2 linked regions of the Cricetulus griseus genome follow. The protein of the gene in region 2 purifies or fractionates together with the protein of the main gene of each other region. This does not show direct contact. Links are inferred from orthologs where the notes say so. Each region holds a gene or a part of one and is shown on either strand. Other genes may lie near its edges.

What was found. Proteins that work in one complex are often made in the same cells at the same time.
Region 1: the proteins of Rhobtb1 (region 2) and Cops6 purify together in Homo sapiens (affinity purification with mass spectrometry; 4 studies listed by BioGRID and IntAct, counting the BioPlex papers as one, with this or other methods). This does not show direct contact. The link is inferred for Cricetulus griseus from reciprocal best matches to the Homo sapiens genes RHOBTB1 and COPS6.

The regions. Positions count from the first base shown.
Region 1 is NC_048597.1:116,886,499-116,897,057, forward strand, and holds Cops6 (COP9 signalosome complex subunit 6), read right to left. Parts: upstream 5,676-10,559; 5' UTR 5,095-5,675; coding exon 4,968-5,094; intron 4,759-4,967; coding exon 4,636-4,758; intron 4,445-4,635; coding exon 4,313-4,444; intron 3,897-4,312; coding exon 3,808-3,896; intron 3,713-3,807; coding exon 3,650-3,712; intron 3,282-3,649; coding exon 3,234-3,281; intron 2,898-3,233; coding exon 2,783-2,897; intron 2,705-2,782; coding exon 2,612-2,704; intron 2,519-2,611; coding exon 2,418-2,518; intron 2,301-2,417; coding exon 2,160-2,300; 3' UTR 1,589-2,159; downstream 1-1,588. Other genes in the region: DNA replication licensing factor MCM7, read left to right, coding at 586-695, 865-1,066; Znf3 (zinc finger protein 3), read left to right, coding at 8,858-8,901. UniProt on the Homo sapiens protein: Component of the COP9 signalosome complex (CSN), a complex involved in various cellular and developmental processes.
Region 2 is NW_023276806.1:268,396,258-268,407,079, forward strand, and holds the start of Rhobtb1 (rho-related BTB domain-containing protein 1), read right to left. Parts: upstream 6,007-10,822; 5' UTR 5,896-6,006; exon of another isoform or gene 5,487-5,895; intron 5,385-5,486; exon of another isoform or gene 5,251-5,384; intron 3,371-5,250; 5' UTR 3,321-3,370; intron 1-3,320.

The sequences.
Region 1 (10,559 bases), on a different chromosome or scaffold from region 2:
GGGCACATACAACACCCATGGAGGGAAAGGCTGCTTGCTACTTAAATCCAAGAGGGGCAGATGGACTTGTTGAATTCCTGATGTCCTAGATATATGGTCTTAGATATCTCCATTCTGTCCTTCCCTCTTGGACCTTAGTCATGGGGGCTCCAAAGTGCTGTTCGTGCAGGTAGTGTAATTACCTGACCTACTGCTGAGCTAGCACTTCCCGAGCCCCCAGGACACAACCTCTCTGACAATGACCCTAGCTGAGCTCCCCAGGCCCCATTTGTCATGATGGGGAACCTAGTGGAGTTCAGAAGGGTCTGGTCTCCCTCACAGGACAGCTGAACACCTACCGGGACTGGCCAGTGTTGAGAGGCGGAGACTTGGGCAATTGCTGGAAGCTGCCCTGGGCATTGCACTTGTCTCGGTCTGACAGTGCCGGCCCAACACTGCAGATTGGGGGAGGGGGCAGGGAGGAGTCCCCATTTTTTTAAGTGGGCAAACATGGCTTGCCACCCTTGAAGCTGGAGCAGTGAAGACCTTTGACTTCATCCCCTTTCTCCCCTCCTATCCCCATCTTTTTCTTGCCTTCCCCCTTAGGCTCGCCTCCGTATGGTGGACATTGTGGAAAAAGAAGATGTAAATGAAGCCATAAGGTTGATGGAGATGTCAAAGGACTCACTTCTAGGTGAAAAGGGACAAACAGCTAGGTGAGTGTCTTAATGAAGATGAAATTGGGGCACTTGACTTTATTGAGCTGGTCATAAGTTTTGTGGCTTCTGCACCCAAACATACAAGTTTGACCTCAGGATTTTGATTCTGATTGCTATTCTGTTTGCTTAGCCCTGCACACTGACATTTTCCATCTATGTGTTTCAGGACCCAGAGGCCAGCAGATGTGATATTTGCCACAGTTCGTGAATTGGTCTCAGGGGGACGAAGTGTCCGGTTTTCTGAGGCTGAGCAGCGCTGCATATCACGTGGTTTCACACCAGCCCAATTCCAGGCAGCTCTGGATGAATATGAGGAGCTAAATGTCTGGCAGGTCAATACTTCTCGGACACGCATCACTTTTGTCTGATGACCAGCTTTGAGGTTCACCCTTTGTCTGACGACCAGCTTTTAAGGCCCTGCTGCGCACCCCATAGCATTTGCTGGATGCCCCAAAGGAACAGATCGAATTTTCCCATACTGCACTTTTTTGTTTGTTAATAAAATGTTTTGACTTTGGGCCTGGCTTCTGTTAAGATAGCATTTTTTGGGGAATGGGCAAACACTACTAATTCCAATGTAAGTTTCTATTCTACCTTGCCACATTTAAGAGCTAGGGTGTGGCAAGGACTTAATAGAGCCTTCTCCCCTGGTATGTATGAAGCACTGAGCCTTACTGTGTGCTAATCAATACAGTGCCAGGATCAGGGCCTAGGGCCCACTTTTTTTTTGAGACAGGGTTTCTCTGTGTAGTTTTGGAGCCTGTCCTGGTACTCGCTCTGGATACCAGGCTGGCCCCAAACTCATAGAGATCTGCCTGCCTCTGCCTCCCGAGTGCTGGGATTAAAGGCATGCACCACCAATGCCCAGCTCCCACTCATTTCTTGAAATATTTCCATTGTAGACATTCTTTTTAATTCCCACCTCTTGAGAGGGTGGTGAAATAGGAGATGGAGGATGGCACAAGAAATGACTTCAGTGGAAGTTTCACAGATGGGCTGAAGTAGAGACTCAAAGAAATTGTTCCTCTTGGTACTTTTCACTTCCATGGGACCAAGGGTTTACGTTATCCATAATTACAAGATAGGCTCTTTATCCCTCCCGTTCAGAGACTGGAAAAGCAGTCATTTGTCATTTCTGTGGGTTGGCCTATGTAAATTGCTACCACAGAACTAGAAGCAAACAGGCAGTCCTACCACATTCTGCCTATCTAGACAAGGGGTTACCTCAAGTCATTAAAAGGTGGGTAGGCAGTGGAGACGTAGTGGTGAGTAGATTCTGCCTCTGAGCAGGGCTGCTTTGAGGATTCCAAGTTTGAGAAACCAGTGTGGGGCTGGTAGGACAAAGCCACTGGAAGGGCTGCTAAGGGGCTGCTCTTTTATTAATGACAGTTTCTCTAAGGGGAATGTAGTGCCCAGTAACAGTTGTCTGAGCCCTGTACATCATCCCTTCTAGAACCCTCATCAGAAAAACAGTCCCCGCATTCGCCTGCCGATGCCCTGTCGGTCGTAGAGAACGTTGAACTTGTTCACAAACTGGTTCATTGTGTTGCACGTTTTGGTGATGGTGCCGAGGTAGGCCATGAGCCCCACGTCATTGCATTGCTGGGAGGGAACAGAAAGAGCCAGTTCCCCAGGGATCTCTCACATTAGGGCCAAGGACAACTGAGGTTGGTGTGATGGTGTGAGCCCCACCTCCCCAACAGGGGTATTAACACTCACATCATAAAAGTCTGTCTTGAACTTGTCTGTGCTGAGAACTGGTAGACAGTGACATAGGGCATAGGCCTCACGCAGGATCTCATGGTTGAAGGGGACCTCTCCTAAGGGTACAATGAGGCTGCACTGATGGGGATGCTGTCACTTCTCCAGGAGGGAGGAAAAACGATTAAAAGTGACAGAGGCACCTGTCCTACCTGCTTCTGAGGCCTTGACATACTCTAAAATGAGCTTCACGCGGCTGTGCAGCATCTTGATGGCACTATGCTGAGCTATCAGGTGTTCGGCCACTGCAGGGGAATGCGGCAAATGAAAGACAGTATGTGACCACAGCCACCCCACACTTCGAAAGAATTCACCTCCCTTACCAGTGGAGTTCTCCCCACTGCCTGTTGCTGTCATCCGTGCCACATGGTCTACACCGATACGTTCAGCTTCCTCAGTGGCCAGTGTGTACGTGAGCTCAGCAAACAGCATTGTAGCCTGCAGAGCAAAGGGTTCCCACATGAGAAGAGTCAGAATCGGAAACAAAGGAGCAGATGGCTGCACAACCCTGAGGATCTGACTTTAGATCCTCAGAACCCACAGTAAGCTAGATGTGGTAAGAATGTGTCTGTACCCCCAGCACTCCTACAAGACCAGAAGTAGGGCACAATTCCCAGAAACCCCCAGGCAACCAGCCTGGCAAACAAGATGCTGTCTCAAACAAAGTAGAAAGTAAGGATGGACATCCAGGGTGGTCCTGTGACTGCATACATGTGCATGGCATGCAGGAAACAGGCTAAAAGCAGGAATTGAAGGTTGCAGGGTAGGTATTACCTCTCCATTGATTATATCGATGACAGACTCAAAAACGCTGACAGGAAGCTGTAAGACAGATGGAGACAACTCTTACTAAGAGCAAATGCACTTGAACTTAAACATGTGCCAGGCTGGCCTGGAACTCACAATCCTGCCTCAACCTTCTGAGTGCTAAAACTGATTAAAAGTATGTGGACACACTTGGCTCACCTTTTCAATTTTCCCCAAAACATACCCACATTACATATGAAAGTGCCACTTACAAGATGACATCATAGAATTGATGGGTAACTAGCAGCATGGTAGACATTCAACTCAAGCATTCTCTAATACAGATGATGTCACACAGTAAATTACAGCAGAGCATGAGGATCAAAAGCAGGCAGAGTGGTAGATGATAAAGACAAAGGGGACATAGGGTCAGCAATACTCACATCTGTGTGCTTGGTCATGGGGTTCAACTTCAGAAAGAGGGGGCTCTCAATTATCTCGCACACCTAAAAGAAAAGAGAAGGCACCCCCCAAAAGTCAACCTTTCTTCCTCTTATGTTTGGTTCTCTTCCCCAACATGTACACATTTGAACCTGTATACCTGCTTATGGACGTGGATGTCGGAGGGGTCAGGCGGCCCCCCTGTGGTATACCAACCCAGAAACTCCAGCTCCTTGAACACCTGTTTAACTGAAGAAGGGGCCAATGTAAACAATATTTCTTTAAACCGCTCTTCGTTTCACTGACTTTGGTGTATTTCTTTTTTTCCTCACCAGTTCTTCCCTCCCTCCTCAAATTTTGGCTCAGTTTGGAGTAACTACACTCTGCCATCGCTCATCCTTTACTTGCTGAAAATAACCTTTTATTTCTGATCTCCTGTCTCCATCTCCTGGTTTATATGATACTCGAGGACTTAACTCTGGGCTTCTTGCATGTTAGGGCAAGCACTATACCCACTGTCCTACATCCCCAGCACTTTTATCTTACATTTATCTTAGCCAAAAGGACGAGAAGCAATGCACTTTTACTTAAGACCAACCCAACCCCTGCCCCCCCAAATCTTCCCACTTCACTTCTCTTTCCCACCCACTTGTATCCCCTCTCACACTGCTCCTCCTTGGTGTAGTAATATTCCTTGTCAATGATAATCTTCTCTTCCACGGTGTGGGACAGCAGCTCAAAAGAGTTCATCACTTCGATATTTCGCCCCTCCTGCTTCCCGATTAAAGCCCCAATCACTGAGAGGAGAGAAGCACACCAAAGATAGGTGAGGGAACAGGCATCCAAAATCTTTCCTCATAACCCAAGACTCTGAGGTCAGTGTGAATCAATGATTGAGGGAACTAATTTGGAAGAAGTGGGAGGCGAGGGAAAAGTGATTGGAGGAGGTCTCCAAGAGGAGGGTTTGAGGTCTACACACAGCCCTCACCCTGCATAGGCCGCCCCTCCTGGGAGCGCATGCGGATCCAGTGGTCGGAGATGTTGAGGATGACAAGGGGATGAAGAGCGACGGAAACACTCCCAGTCACTCCAGAGGCCATCACGCTGGGGGCTGTGAAAGGTAAAGGAAAACACAGCGGTGAAAGCTCGGGCCCTCACATTCTCTCCTAGACATGGGAGTAGGGGACCGGCGCAGCCGGGCCGTCCATCCCTGCCCGCAAGTTACGCTGGGACAGCTGTCTGTCGCTTCTCCCGGGCTTAGGTAGTACTCAAGATACTCCGCAAGGGCGATGCCAGAAGTCGCTCCGCACAGCCCGTTACCTGCTGCATCCACCTCCATGCCGCTGCTGCCTCCGCTCCCGTTCGCAGCCGCCGCCGCCATTTTCCCCGCGCCCGCCAGCCACGGCCCGCCCCCTTCCTTCCCGGCTTCCGTCGGCGAGCGGCGCATGCTCAGTATGTGCTTGGCGCTGCTAAAGGGCGGGGCATCTGCCAGTCCTTGGTAGTCCTGGATGTCCAAGAGCACGTCGTACTGTGTTGCTGTTACCTGTTCTCAAGTAACCTAGCATGGCCTTGAACTCTGTATTGTGTATCTGAGGATGACTTCCACTTTGATCCGCCTGCCATCACCTCCCAAGTACTGTTATTACAGGTGTGCATCAACAAGCCCTGGTATTTTATGCTCAAAGCGCAGAGTCACTAGGCCTTGGGTCAGCCAGAAGTCACTGGAGAGTAGGGCTGTTCGTTTCCAGCGCTCAGTGGGTGCATTGTATGTACTGGAGCCAGAAAATTGCAACCAAAAGGAAGCAAGGCTGTTAGCAGGATGTGGAAAGCAATTTATTCAAGATATTAAACTTTTTCATGTTGCATATAATCTGTATGCAGGAACTTGGTCACTTGTTTGTTTGTTGACATAGGACCTCACTGTGTAGCCCATCTGGCTGGGAACTTGCTCTTAGAGCAGGCTGACTTCAAACTCACAGAGATGCGCCTGCCTCTGTTTCCTGAATGCTGGGATTAAAGGCGTGCGTGCGCCACCATGCTCAGCAAGCCTAGCTTTTGTGTGTGTGTTGGGGATTTAAACTCAGATCCTAACACATTATCATTGAGCCACCTCCTCAGCTGTGACTGCTCTTGAACTGTTTAGCTGCTTCAGTGGCAGGGCAACCTGACTCCTTACACAACTTAGTGACTGCTACTGGGAGAACTTTGGGCACACAGTGGGATGGGTGCCAGGTGAATCTGGGGCCACACTGGTGTGGTATCTGCTACTTACTGGCAGAACCTCTTCAGTAATTGTCTTAGGGTCTCTATCACTGTGAAGAGACACCATCACGATGGCAAATCTTATAAGGAAAACATTTAATTGAGGGGGCTCACTTACAGTTTCAGAAGATCAGTCCATTATCATCATGACAGAGCATGGCAGTGTGCAGGCAGATGTGGGGCTGGAGTAGCTGAGAGTCCTACATCTTGCAGGCAACAGGAAAGTGACTGACAGTCACACTGCAGGAAGCTTGAGCAAAAGAGACCTCAAAGCCCTCCTGCCCACCCCCTGCCACCCACCCCACCCCCGCCTACCCAGTGACATACTTCCCCCAATAAGGCTATATCTCTTAATAGTGCCACTCCCTTTGGGAACCATTTTCTTTCAAACCACAACACAGTGATCAAGCAACTTTGTAGAAGTCTCCACCACTTTTCTGGCAGAGGACTCTAGCCATCAAGCTGCCGCCAGCAAATCACATAAGAGAAGCCTTTATCCTGCTTGATTGTACCAATAGGGAAGGTGCAGTGTTGTGGTGGTTTGAATAAGAATGGCCCCTGATAGGCTGGAGAGATGGCTTAGAGGTTAAGAGCATTGGCTGTTTTTCCAGAGGTCCCCGGTTCAATTCCCATCACCCACATGGCAGCTCACAACTTGTAACTCCAGTTCCAGGAGACCTGACACCCTCACACAGGCATACATTCAGGCAAAACATCAATGCACACAGAAGTAAATCTTAAAAAAAAAAAAAAAAATGGCCCCCATCGACCACCAACGCCCGGCTATGCTATAAACTTAAAGCGGTTACCATTAGAAGAAAAACAAGACAAAGAAACGTTAATGCTAACAGCAATTTAACACTATTTTTAAAATGCTTAACACCTGTCTAGGGCCCAAGGAGAACTAGGTCCCCTTCATCTGTCTCAGAATGAATTTTTCAGATGTTAGTTACACATGGGAGATGATTTTTATTTACTTACTTATTTTCAATGTGTGTTTGTGTGTGTGTGTTTGCGGGCATGTGCACACGCGCTGACCCAAAAGCTAAGAATATCATCAGATAGCATATGAGTCCTATAGAAAAGCTTACTTCATAGCTGAGTGCTGGTGGCGCACGCCTTTAATCCCAGCATTCGGGAGTCAGAGGCAGGTGGATCTCTGTGAGTTCGAGACCAGCCTGGTCTACAGAGTGAGTTCCAGGACAGCCAGGGTTACACAGAGAAACCCTGTCTCGAAAAACAAAACAAATAAAATAAACAAATCTTCTTAAAAAAATCAACTGAGCCGAACCTTCAGCCCATGATGCTCATGTATATTAACAGATTCTTCAAGTTTCTTAAATTTGTTGTGGAGGTTTGGGAGATGGTGTTGGCTGGTCCCTACCCACTGTACCTTCTCCCAGAGACATCGGAACTTGTGCCCTGAATTCCCAGGTCCCTTCCCGACCTGGCCAGCAGGTGACGCAGTCCGGAGCACTTGTTTTTCCTGCACAGCAGTCGTCTTTGAGTCAGCGTACCATCAGAGATGAAGACCTCCTATTTTCCTAGAGAGAGCAAATGGGCGTTCGGCTCTCAGGGGTTGCAGTGGGTGGTGAAGAAGGACGACCCGGAAATGAAACGGGGAGGGGGCACTTCCGTTCTTTGTTCTGTTCTCGGTTGTCCATCGGGGCCTGGTTCGTGTCCGGGCCCCTAAGTCTTACGTCCCTGTCCCCAGGGTGAGTGGGGCCGTCTTCGGGACTCGCGGTGAGGCGGCAGTGTGGTCCCCGGGGAAGGGGGTTGGTGTTCACGCCCCTGCAGCCCGCGGGGTCCTGGGCGCGCAGCGGGGACTCCGGATCTGCTCGTGTCCTCCACCGCCAGCCCCCGTGTCTGAAATTCCCGGCGTCTCTCGGTGCTGGGGGCAGGAGAAGGGAGTTTGTTTTTCCTGGACTGGATCGGAGAGTGAGAGTAGCAGTGAGAACTAGAGCTTGCGAGGAGGTGCGAACTCGGGCCCCATGCGCTCCTCACCAAGACCTAACGCCCTACAGATAGGCAGGTTTCCTGGCGAAGCTGCACAAGGCTGCAGCAGACGCCCTGCAGAAAGTGGCTGAGTGTGTCCAGCGCCAGAGAACCTGTGTCATTTCAGCTCAGCTCTGTAGCGTGCAATGAAAAACAAAGACCGTGTGTGGAGATATATATATATATATATATATATATATATATATATATATGTATATATATGTATATATATCCATATCCCTTTCCCTGACATACCTCTTAAGCATCTATACTAGAAATAAACTTCACGGTATTTTTCCATTTTGCTCCTTAAGCATGCACCACCGGTATCACCTAGAGCAGTGGTTCTCAACCTAACGCTGCGACCCTTTAATACAGTTTCTCATGGTGTGGTGACCCCAACCATACCGTTATTTTTGTTGCTGTTTCATAACTGTGATTTTGCTACTGTTATCAATCGGAAATACCTGTGTTTTCTGCTCCTCTTAGGTGACCTCTATGAAAGGGTCATTCAACACCCCACCCCACCCCCCACTCCCCCACCCTTGTTGAGAAATGCTAACCTAAAATGAATTTCCAGGAATTAACCAAGCTTGCTAGATCATGCCTCTAATCCCAGAACAGATGAAAATGAAGCGGGAGTATGAATATAATTTCGAGGCCAGTCTGTACTATACAGTTAATTCCAGGCTAGTCTGGGGTATACCATGAGGTCTTACCCAATAAAGGAAGCCCAAAAATAAATAAATAAAATCCCAGGAACTGAATAAAAGGTGCCAAATTTCTTTGTTACTTTACTCTTACAGGGATTAACTCCATAGAAGGAAGAATGGATCCAGGAAGGGAGGCTTCTCTTGACCTGTCCTCCCTGTCATGTGGTCTTTCTTGGTCCCCTGAGCAGCTTGAGCAGGGGAGGGGAAAGTCTCTGCCCACACGAAGATGGCAGGAGTACTATGCAGAGTTTCTATGAGAAACATTGTTTACTGACTCAGACACTGTGAGCTTGTCCTTACCAGTATGCTGGAGATCCAGCTTCCATTAACCCAGCCTTGAATGGGGAATGTTGCCTTTTACTCTGTTGTTTGTGTGTTGTTTGAGATAGGATCTCTCTACAAAGCCCTGTCAGTCCTTGGACCAGGCTGACCTTGAAGCCCACCTCCCAAGTGCTGGGATCAAAGGCATGGGTCATCGTGCCCAGCTTGCCTCTTTGGAGGCAGCCGTGCTGAGCCTGTGCGTGTTTGTTTATATGTGTGTTTCTTTGAGATAGGGGCTGGGTTTGAGGGTTGGAACTTACAGTCCTGTCTGAGACTCTCAGGTACTGGGATTTCAGGCCAGTGCCACCCAGTCAAGTTGTTGACACACTCCCAAACCCCAGCTGTCCTGGACTTGCTTTATAGACCAGGCTGGCCTTGAATTTAGAGATCTGCCTGCTTCAGCCTCCCAGGGTTAAAGGCCTGCGCTGCTTCCTTTTTTTTTCCTTCGAGACAGGGTTTCTCTGTGGCTTTGGAGGCTGTCCTGGAACTATCTCTTGTAGACCAGGCTGGTCTCAAACTCACACAGATCTGCCTGCCTCTTCCCTCCCGAGTGCTGGGATTAAAGGCGTGTCATTCACGCCTGATTCACCTTTTTAAAAGGAGATAATTTTGTTGTTTTTGTCCTTTTTGTGATGGGGTCTCATACAGTTGCTGGATTGTTGGTCTGTTTTTTTTTTTTTTTTTTTTTTGTGGATGGGTGTGTTGTCTGTCCCCAGAGACCAAAAGAGGGCATCAAATCCCCTGGGACTGGAGTTACAGATGGCTGTGAGCCACCATATGACTGGTGGGAATTAGACCTTGGGTCCTCTGGAAGGGCAGCCAATACTCTTAGCCACTGACCACCACCTTAGTCCCTTGTTTGTTTTGTGAGACAGTATCTCATAAAGAGCTGTGAGATCCTATTTTTTAAAAAAGTAGGTGTAAAGTAGTCTTAAAAAAAAGCTGCCTTCTTAGTGAGAGGAAGCACAATTGGGTTAGTCTTTTTTATTGTTTTCTTAGGTAAGGTTTCCTTTTTTAGATTTAGTGACTTTTATATTACATATGTGGGTGTTTTGCCTGCATGTATGTCTCTGCACCATGTATGTGCCTGGTGCCTTCAAAGGCCAGAACTGGAGTTCCAGATGTTGTGAGTTGCAGTGTGGGTGCTGGGAATTGAACTTAGGTCTTCAGGAAGGGCAACAAGTGCTCTTAGCCACTGAGCCACCTCTCTCGTCCCAGATAATGGTTTTTCCTTTTTTGAGACAGGTTTTCTCTGTGTAGCCTTGGCTGTCCTGCAACTTATTCTGTAGACCAAGTTGACCTCAAACTCACAGAGATCTGCCTGCCTCTACCTCCCAAGTACAGCACCACCACTGCCCAGCAAGATAAGGTTTCTTGTAGCACAGGTTGGCCTTGAGTTCCCAATCTTCCCCCCATCTCTCTAGTGCTGGTATGCCACCATACCTGGGTCAGGGTCAGTTATCTCATTCTGGTGAATGATACCCACCTCATTGCTACACTTGTCACTCAATGTTGGGTAGATGGGGCAAAGTTTGGAAATCTTGGTCCCTTGTGTGGTCTTATTACGGAGGTGCCATATTCACAGGGATCTAAAAGACTGTCCTGTGTGTTTCTTCTCACT
Region 2 (10,822 bases):
TGTGGCATTTAGCACCTGTGTTTCTTCTCCCCTTGCAAGAGTAGCCTGGACTGAATAGGCTAAAGTACCCATTTCCAGGAGTTCATCAAGAATGCATTCAAATCTTTGGTCAGACTAAAGTCCACTCAGTCCAAGCTCCATTTCCTATTAGCTCCTTGACTGAATGTCTCTTAGTCTCTGTCTTTCTCTCCCCTTTGCTTTGCTTCTGTTAAATTGGAATTGATAATGAATATAAGTCATAGAGCAGTCAATACTTGGCATCTTGGAAGAACGGAAGAAGTCCTAGTGGTTGTTATAGCCAGGGACCAAGCTATGACCAGCTAGTTATAAACCAGAAGTGGCTGGTTAGCCTTAAGGCTGGCTAAAAATTCAAAGGAAATTTCTCCACAGACAGAGCCTGAGATCAAAACCCATCAGCACTGGGAACTTGCCATTGCCCAAGAAATAAATTCAAGACCCCGGTAGAGAAGTGTAATTGCTCTGTCTAGACCTCCTGGCACTTCAGCCTTCCGTGCCCATGTGTCTGAGTCACTGCTAAAAGGAATACCTGAAGACAGGCAGTGCCACGGGTGTCTTGGAAGACCAAGGCTATGCTCACCCTTCATTCCCCATGTCTTGACTGGCCCATTTCCCAAGTTCTGCCCTAAGGTGCCTAGGGAACAAAGGGGCTGAGAGACGTGGCTGATTGTATGCTAGTCACTGGTTTTATGTGTTTTACCAACTAGAACAATACCCAGGTAGCCCATCGGTAGCTGTTCTGTCCATTTGATCACTGTCTGCTGCCACCTTCCAAGCTTTCTTTCCCTCCCCCATCTCCTACCACTCCCATGATTTATCCCCTATGTTTTTTTTTTCCTACTTAGCTATTGTAATGTATTTCAAATTCCTTCTCCAAGTTTTTAGAGTAGTGAGGTTGATGGAGAGCCTTGGTGGAGAAAAGAAGGTCAGAACAAAGACCAGATTCAAATCACCAGTTATGGGAAGCTAAAGGGAGGCTTTCTATTATCACAATACCAACAAGGAGATAAGGTGTGTGTGTGTGTGTGTGTGTGTGTGTGTGTGTGTGTGTGTGTGTGTAAGCTCAAAGGCCCACATGGAGGCCACAGAACCTCTGGCTCTTGTGCCCCAGGCACTGTACATTTTTTTTTTTTTCTTTTCAGGCAGTGTTTCTCACTAGGCTGAGATTTGCTTGTCTAGGCTGACAGATCATCAAGCCCCTGCCTCCCCAGCAATGGAATTACAAGCATGCTCAGCCTTTTCTTTTTTTTTTTTTTTTCTTTTAAAGGTATCTTCTGGAAATCCAATAATTTAGGGCCTCATGTTTGTAGAGCAAGCACTTTACAGACTGTGCCATCTCTCAGGCCCAGGGTTTATCTGTTTTCTACAAGTCAGTTTACCAAGCAAAGCCAGCAACGTTCCAAATGTTTCTGTTTTACAAGAGACAAGCCACACACCATAACCAAAGCCTGCTGATGTCCAAAAAAAAAATAAGGGAGTAAAACAGCTGACTGATAACTAATTATCATTAGAGATAGCATGCTAATTCAAAGATTCTTCTCGGCCCTAACATTCTGTAATTTGACTACTTTAAATAAATCATAAGTTTATGATTGTCATATTGATTATTTTTTATGGCATACCATTCATCACAGCTAGCCATATATCAGTTAATGGTGAGGTCCTGGCCCATAATGGAATCTCCCCAATACAAACCATGGAGTATGATCTGTCTTGTCATGGTCTAAGATATAATAAACTTTATAGACCAAGTTTTTATAGGATAGCATGTAACTATCTTTTAATTGATCAGAAATATCCCTTAACTAAGTGTGCTTTTCCAACGCTATTAGGTGAGCTGTTAAAAAGATGTTAAAAAAACATGTTAAAAAGATGGCATCTAGAGGACTCCTTAATAATCCATTCCCTACCCCCTTGTTAATGACTCTGCGTTTAAAGTTCCCCGAGAAGGATCGACAACCATTATAAATTATTCTTTAAAGATCGAGGAGGGAAACAGAGGCAAGAGATGCTGTTAATTCTGATGCAAATGGGAAATGTCTGTGACTTTAGATACTGGCCTCTTTCAGAACTCTGGTTGGGATTTATCTACTATGTATACAAACCTGTCTGCTGGAAGTAGAACATTTCAGGCAGGTGGAGGTTTTGAAGGGCTACTCTACTTCGAGGCTCCCTAGTAGTGTAGTGTGTGCTTTTACCAAAGACTTCTGCAGAGTGCTTGTAAGAGATGGTGTCTCTGCCTCCATGGTCCTATAACTTCATGGCTCGAAACAACTACTCAGTCTCTGATGGTTTGAAATTCTACCTCCTGCCTATTCCCAAATGCTCATCTATGTAGCTGAAAACTTGTGCTTGGTACATGGGATTCAAAAGTAATCTCACAGAACAGAAAATACTGAATTTCTTATGAAAGTTCTGTGGGACCCGTCCCCACCTTTCAGCTTTGGGACCTGCACAACCATGGTTTATTCTCTATCATTTCATATGGGAAGGCCTGATGTCTTGCCTCTTAAATTGGCTTGGAAACTTCTTAAGAGTTGGAACCCACCTACCTCCTGTAATAAAAATTCTTATCCTTAACAGATCCATGCTAGGAAGTTCCCTACTCTTACTCAAGGGAGTGGAATCTGTTCAACAGGAACAGCTGCTCCGTTGAGCGTCACTGGGTGATCTGTAGTTACTGGGTTAAACAAATCGCTTAACCTCCCTTGGCCCCAGTCTCCCTGTTGAAGAAGAAGTTTTCAAATAAGAGTTTATGTCTTAGAGTAAGGTAAAATTTTAAAAATTAATCAAAAGTTGTTGCATACCACAGATATATATATATATATATATATATGTGATATTTGTCCATTTATATGAATACACAATACCCGTAGAATAAAAACATAAATGTACAGAAGCAAACACTACCCAAATCTTGACTCAAACTCAACAAATGTCCACTACTATTCTGTCAAGTTTACTTCTATGTCCTGAAGGCTAAGATGAAGTTGAATTGTCTCCATTACTGAGACCCAGATTCCCAAGATCCTCAGCTGTCTAGTGCCATTTTAATTTTCAAGTTAGTAAGAAAACCGCAGAAAGGAGTGAGGGGCACAAGGTTCATGCTAGCACCATCTTCCTCACAGAGAAAATAGGACGATTTCCATCAACAAAGAGCTTGCGTCATTTCCAATAAACAAGGCAAGAGGCAAAACCCAATTCTTCCAAGACACATGAAGAAACCTGTTCTAAAACCCACATTCAGCCTCAGCGACTGCACCATCCATCTGTGTGTTGTGGGTTTGCACAAAGATACTGACCTGGCTCACGGAAGTGAAGAACAGAAGTCCCTGCTCGTAGCTGGACTTACCTAGAGACAGAGAGAAACACTGTTGAAATCTCACTGCCTGCCAGGAGCCCATGGGAGCTCATGGATTTTTGCATGTTTTTTATCTCTCTCCCTCTCTCTACAGCCACCTGATTTTAGCTGATGTCATGCATACACTGGCATTTCTTTGGGTCAAGTGTATCCTGAAATAGCTATGTTAACATTTTATAGCATCCACAAAAGTATATTTCTGAGCATTTGGGGATGTTACAGAAAAAACACTTAGCCACAAGCTGATGGGAGACACAGTGAAAACTCAGACTCTTGATTTTAAAACAACATCACCTTAACCCCAAAGCAAGCAATTCTGGTTTCTTCTTCTTTTTTTGTGGCAGTATTAATTCATTAACACCAACTAGCTTCTGTGCCTCTTTGTGATTGATTACACATAGCCCTGTGCCTTGAAATGCACACGACCTTCACAGTCTTGGAAGGTAAGAGTAGGCAAACTTAAAAGATTGTTGCTAACACCCCCACCCCCAATGGTAGTTCAAAGCCTTCTACCCTGGGATGAAATGGGTCAAAACCATACCCCCATTAACAATCAAATATGATCGAGGAATCTCCAGGGGAACCTTGTTTAACATAATAATTGACTGCTCACTCCACCTGTGGAGCAACATGCAGATAGACGTTCTTCACAGTCTAAAAGCTTGAGTTTATCTTATGGGAAGCACCAGGTCTCATAGACGCCCAAACGATCATTGAAGATGAAATACAGCACCGAGTCTCAAGGTAGTGTTTGTAAGTGAACTTAGGAGTCTCTTGACGGTTTACTATCGGCCCCCTGGCAAAGCGGAAAGCCCCTGGAAGCTTGGGATGATTTTGAGTCTCAAGGAGTTTCTTGAAGCAGCCAGTCCAGCAACCGGGATGGGAGAAACTCCAGAGCTAATGAAACTAAGTATCCAAGAAGAGTTCAGCAGCTCCCCCCAAACACAGGCCAGGGAGGTTCAGTCAGGATGACTGCTCTCTACTTTCTGCAGTTCCCCAGCTTTCTGTGACGGTGTATGTGCATCAATCTTCATGCACCCCCCCCCCCCCCCAGCACAGTCAGTTCCAAAGTCACAGCTTGTGCGCTGACGTGAAAAGCCAAGTCAAAACCCTGTGTTTGGCTCTCCCTCCTAACTTTCTGGCTTGTCCAAGTCTAAATATTGACTTTGCTCCTCCGTTGAGTAGTTTGATACGGGATGGAAACCGCACCGCCAACAGAGGGATCGAATGATATATTTTTACACAGCCTTGCCTTCCTTCCGCTTGTTTTTTTTGGGGGGTGGGGTGGGATGAGGTGGGGTGGGGTGGGTGTGGATCTCTTCTGCACATCTCCCCCATACCTGGCTGTAAGCTTAACCCAGTAAGCTGAAGCCCACGCACAAGTTCGGGTGTGTGCAAGTCCCTCACAGGCAGCGTGTACCGGTTGTCACAGCAACTCACAACCGACTCCCTTACACACAGGGCTTGGGGTGGGGGGAGGGCGAGGGGCGTCGCCGTGCACCTGAACACCCTGCTCCCGGCAGTGCAAGCGCCCAGGGGAACAGAGCACCTCGCTTCTCCGGTCCCGGGTTCCTCGCCACGGTCCTTCGAGGAAAAGGCGCCTTCCCCGGGGGCGCGGCAGCACCCGCCCTGGTGCAGCCGGCCTCCTTAGGTGCCTGTTGTACGTGTTCTCAGCAGCTACAAGTTAGGGGTGCGGCTGGGGCGGGTATCTCTTCAGCTCACGCGCCTGGGAGGGGACTGTCCCCTGCCTCCCATCAGCTCGCTCCCGCAAATGTCGCTGGGACACATGGGCCGGGGTCCCCACCTGCCACCCTCAGGGCGATCGGGAGCTGGGGCTCTGCACTGGGACTCTGCACGACACAGCCACCTACCCTGCAGCCGAGCGAGACTCGGCTCTCTCCGCCGCTCAGGAGCGGCCCCCGCCGCGCGCGCTCGCGGGGACGCGGGGACCCTGCGCGCCGCGCGCCACCCGCCCGGCGTGGCACAAAGGCAGCATGGCACAGCCGCGCCCGGCCGCGTCCGCGTCCTGGCCCAGGCCACGGGGCTCGTCCCCAGGTCGCTGTCGCCTCCAGCCCTGCCCTCCTCCCGCCCCCGTCCCCGGCCAGGCGGGGCACCGGGCGGAACCCTGAGCCCCGGCACGGAGCGAGCAACGCGGTGGCGGCCTCCGATCGCTCCCTCTCTCCACCGTGACGTGAGCAGCCTTGGCGGCTATTTATAACCACACGATTGGATTTCATTCATGAAACCAGGGCCTGTTGTGTCGGAGCTGTGGGACGCGAGGTGGCGAAGGTGCCTCGACTGCACGCACACCGGAGGGCCTGGGCTCCGGGGTGCTTGGTCCGGACCAGCGTGTGCCTGGCACCCACGGGAGCCCGGCCTCAGGCCAAGCTGACGCCAGAGCAGGGCAGGGTGTGTGCGAGCTGTCCCCGAGCCCCCTCCCCGCAGCATCCCACCCACTCCCAAACATCCGCTGGCCCTCAGTCCCGGGCTCAGGAAAAGTAAGTTGGGCCACTAACCGGCTGGGCAGCATAGCTTTCTTCCCCCTAGGAACTGACCGGCCGCAGACTCCGAGGGAGGACATTGGCTTTTGTTTCAAAACCGAGCCCAGCTGCTGACTAAGCGCTGCGCTGGCCCAGCCTCCTCCCCTGGGCGCTGCACGTGCGGGCTGGCTCTCCCCCTCCTGGTCACCTTCCCCACCACCGGGTTTGAGGGGTCTCTGCAGGAAGCGGGGTGGGGTGATGGGGGCGCCCTGCTCTTCCAGACCCCAGAAACAGACGCTTCACAGCTCCTTTTAGAGAGGTTGGGGGTAGATCTGAAACTGACATTGGCCTCTCCTGGGTCGGCAGGAATTCTTGGAAACCAAAGAAAGCCAGAGTGTCCCTTCTCAGGGACATTCTCGACTTTGAAGCCTATTGTGAGTTCTGAGGGCAGAATCATGGCCATTTTTCATGCAGACACATAAGAACTGCATAGGTGCCTAGGGATGCCAGGCATCATGTCAAGCTCTAAGGAGGTGACCGTGGACACAACTCATTTGGCTCCTGCCCGCAGGGAACTTTCAGTCTGCCTTCTAAACTGCCTGTTGGGCTCAACTGTGTAATCCGCTCACTCCAGTCCGGCAAAAAGACAGCTGGGGGATTAGGGTGTGAATGCCTTCAGCTAGGGATGTGTTACCGTTTATAAACCCTTGTAAAGGCTGAGCACCAAGGCGGACACAAAGATGGCCACGCTTCATCCTTGGCCTCTGCCAAGATTTCAGGAGTGGGGGCAGGAGGAGTTATATTTTAATGTAAGGGCTGTTTCTTTGTGTTATTCTCCAAGTCCCCCCTAAAGAAAGAAGAGTAAACAAATCTCTCTCTCAGTACCACCCTCTCCTTTCAGAAAACCACCTTTGATTTTCTTAGATGGATTTCTCTTCCCACAATTTTTGAATTAATTTCAGTCCTTTTGGTAATTCCCTGCCCCTCCCTTAGATCCAGGGTCTCCTGTAACCTGATCTCAAAATTGCTGTGCTTGTCAAGGCTGCCCTTGAACTCATGACCCTTCTGCCTCCACCTCTCAGGTACCATGACCAGCATACTGGGTAAATAAAAAGGTTTTTTACAAGAAAATGTAGTGCGGCAACCTGTGCAGTCTAAAATCCTTAATTCACGGTTGCTGGAAAAGAGGCCATCAAGGCCATAACCTTTTGAAACTGTCTGGTATATGACAAGTCTAGGGTATATCCATATGGGTCTGTGGTCATTTGCTTGGCAAGGACCAGACTCCCCGCAGTTTGTTTTTAATAGTCATTTTCTTCATGAATGTATTTCTGTGAGAAAGTTAATTGACCCCGATGCTGTTAGCAAGCAATTCTACTTCATGTCAAATCACTTCCTTTCAAGCCACCCTGGGCACTGAGCAATAGGACAGTAACTAAGAAATGGGAAGCAATATGTATTGTGGCCCCAAAATGCAGCAGGGGAATAGTTCAAAACACATTTTTTTTTCCCTCATTGGATCATCACAACAGAGGAGGCCATGTACTGTTACCATCAGACCCATTTTACAGATGGGGTAACAGAGACAAAGAAAATTAATTTTTTTTGTGTGTGTTGTTAGTTGCTGACACTTGTGCCTGGGTCATCCAGGGATGGTCTTATCACCGGCTTTCTTTGTAACATCCGGTCCTCTTCAGTGTCTTTCACTTCCTCAGTCATACATTAAAAAGATGAGCATGGTGAGATGGCACAGTAAAGTGCTTGTCACACAAGGATGAGAACCTGAGTTTGATCTTTCACAGCACTGCAAAAAGCCTGGTATAACGGGCATGGCCATGTGATTCCTTATCTGGTGAGGATGCCCGGGGCTGATTGGCTCAACAGCCTAGCTGATTCAGCAGCCTCTAGTCCCAATGAGAGACCCTGTCTCAAAGGTGGGGGTGTGCTCCTATGGAACAACCCCAAGGTTGACCTCTGGAATCCACAAGTAAGAGCACAGATGTGTACCACGTATTATACCATACACATGAGCATGTGTGTGTGTGTGTGCGTGCACACTGACACACCTGCACATGTGCACCAACAATGAAATGGATAAGTGACAATGCTTTTCTGAAGCATCAAGCAGATGCCAAGAGTAGGAACACATTCAGCACTGTGTATGCCCTTGGGACTCTTCTTCCTGCCCGTCTCCCGATCTCCCAAATGACCATCCCTGTGAAGTGGGTAAGGAACAGCCACTAGCTGTCTTGGAATGGGCGTCACGGGATACCCGAACCTGAGGGGAAATGATTGGAAGAAATTCCAGGAAAACAAATTGTTATTAACTGTGACTTCAGAGACAGCAGAGGAAAAATGGTTGGACATTTTTTTTTTCCCATGCAATGATGGGAATCTCAAAAAGACACTGCCATCTACACCCTGGGCTGCACAGCCCCAAACTGCACACACATGACTTCTGATTCATGAAGGTGGAGGACTGGGCTGCATGCGCTGTAACTACCAACAGGAAAGAGCAAAGAGGAACAATGGGACAACACGCAGCGTCTTGCAGGACCTTGTCTGTGCTCCAGCCCACAGACGAACCAGCCTTTCCGGTCAAGAACTACTTACTGTTGGCAAACATGATCAACACTGTTCACCCCACCTATCAAGAATTGGAGCCTCAGTGGAAATTAGCCAACATTTTTCTCTCCACATACCTGTTTTAGTGCCCAAAAGTGATGTTAGAGTTTTTATGGTATTTTACCAGTGGCATTGACTTCCCTGAAAAAAAAAAATCCTCAGCAAAAATAACAAAAAACAAAAACCAATGACAAAAAACTGAAAATAAAAAATGAAACCAAACCCAAGAAACAAAATAAAACATTCCCCCCAATGGAAACACACAAACAACCAAAAACATCCTAAGTCAGCCATCTTACATGTGTGTGCTTATGCACACATACACACAATAATGATAAAATTTTAAACACTGCAATTTACATATATAAGTAGTTACCAGTAAAACTACTTGCTACTGACCCTTTGGCATTCAAACCATGATGAGACATATTATTTGGAATATCAATGTATATGATTTTCAGATTGAATTTTTGCACTGCACATACTGCCCTTGCGGTCCCTCCAGGGTGTCATCTGCATCAATAGTTCATTTCTTTTCATTTCTGACTAAAGATCTGTTATATGGACACACCAGGGTGTGTTCATTAACCCATGGAATAGCATTCAAGTTCTTCCAATATTTTGCTCCAGTGCAAAAACACCTCCATAAACATTTGTACACAAGTTTTTTGTGTGGATTGTCTTTTCTTTGGGATGAATGCTTAAGAATGTCAATCCTGAATCAAATTCTAAATTCTAAGCTCTCGGGTTTTATTTTCAGAAGGACTGTATGTTTTACATTTCGACCATTAGTATCATTACTTTTTTTTTTTTTTTTTTTTTACAAAATTACTGCTCAGTAGTAGAGAACCAACTCATTGTGGTTTCTATCTGCATTTCTGGAATGATTAACACTGTCAAACATCTCTTCCTGGGCTAACTGACCACACCTATCTCTTTATTGCTGAAAGGGATGTTTATGTCTTTGGTTATTTTATAGGTGGATTGCTTTCTTTTTTTGAATATTCTTAAATTTTAAAAAAAATATTTATTTTTATGTTTAGGTATGTGTACTTAGGTAATTCTGCCTAGGAGTATGCACACATTAGTGCAGGTGCCTGCAGTAACCAGAAGAGGGAGTCAGATCCCTGGAGGTGGAGTTTAAAGGTGGTTGAGAGCTGCCCAGCAGTGGGTTCTGAGATCTGAACTCCAGTCCTCTGCAAGAGCTGCAAGACTCAAAGCTGCTCAGCCAACCCTTCAGCTCTTCATTGTTGAATTAAATAAAAAATATTACGGGGTCATAAATTTCAAATTGCAAATTAAATATGCACCACTACCCCCACCCACCCGGAAAACTCTGTCAATCAATTCAATTACAAGTGCTCTGGGCTTCTATTGCCCAAGCCTTTTCTCAGTATATTCGTGGGTATGGGAAGTTACTTACATAAAATTCCCATGGAGAGGATTTTCTTAGTCTTGTGGTGTTAAGTCCTCATTTTAGCGGTCTGTAACCGACAGCCCGAGGAGCCAACGCCCCTCCCTTCTGCGCAGGCGCAAATGTCTCCTCTAGCGATCAATGCAATAGCTTGTAGGTGGCTTGGACCACCCGGGCCAGCAAGCTTCCACCGCCCACCCATTGGTTTGGAATGCCAGACCTGGCTGGAGGTATGAAAGGCTACCTGGACAATGAGTGGCAGCTGCTAAGGAGTCATTTCAGGTAAGTGTTCAGATAAGTCAGGGGGTGAAGATGCGGGAGAGAGTAAGCTAGCTGGCCAATCTGCCTACTTTAAAGAACAGCTGCATTTGGTCAAAAGGTTTATTGAAAAACAGCTGTTGGTGGAGATTGCTGGGTTGACACAGCTGCTGTTGCAATGGCCAAGAACTTTGTGGCATCTAAGAGATGAAGCGGCTGGTGGCACATGGACAGGCTGCCTCCACTGACTGGCTGGCTCTAAAGAGCTGCCCCAGGCTCCAGAGGCAGGGTAAGACAGGGTGCTGGAGGTAATAAGCCTTTATAAGCAGCTTTGTCTAAACTACGCTGAATGCCTGGCTTCCAGAAGGCATACAGTTGGTCCCAACTGCTCCATCCACAGGCCTGTTTTCTGGTTAGTGACAAGGGGCAGAGCTAAGTGTCTGTGTGCTTCCACAATGCTGTGTGCTGATGGCCAAAAGAGAAAATGACTTCCCACTACCCGGTTTCTTCAGATATCCTTTCATACAGTATCCATATGTTGGAGCAACATGTCTACGAGTTGCTCTAGCCAGACCAGCTAGGACAGGTATTTCTCAGTCTTGGGGCCATTTTCCCAACTTCGGTCGGGCTGATACAGCTGCCATATGAAACAATCCTTTCTGTCCC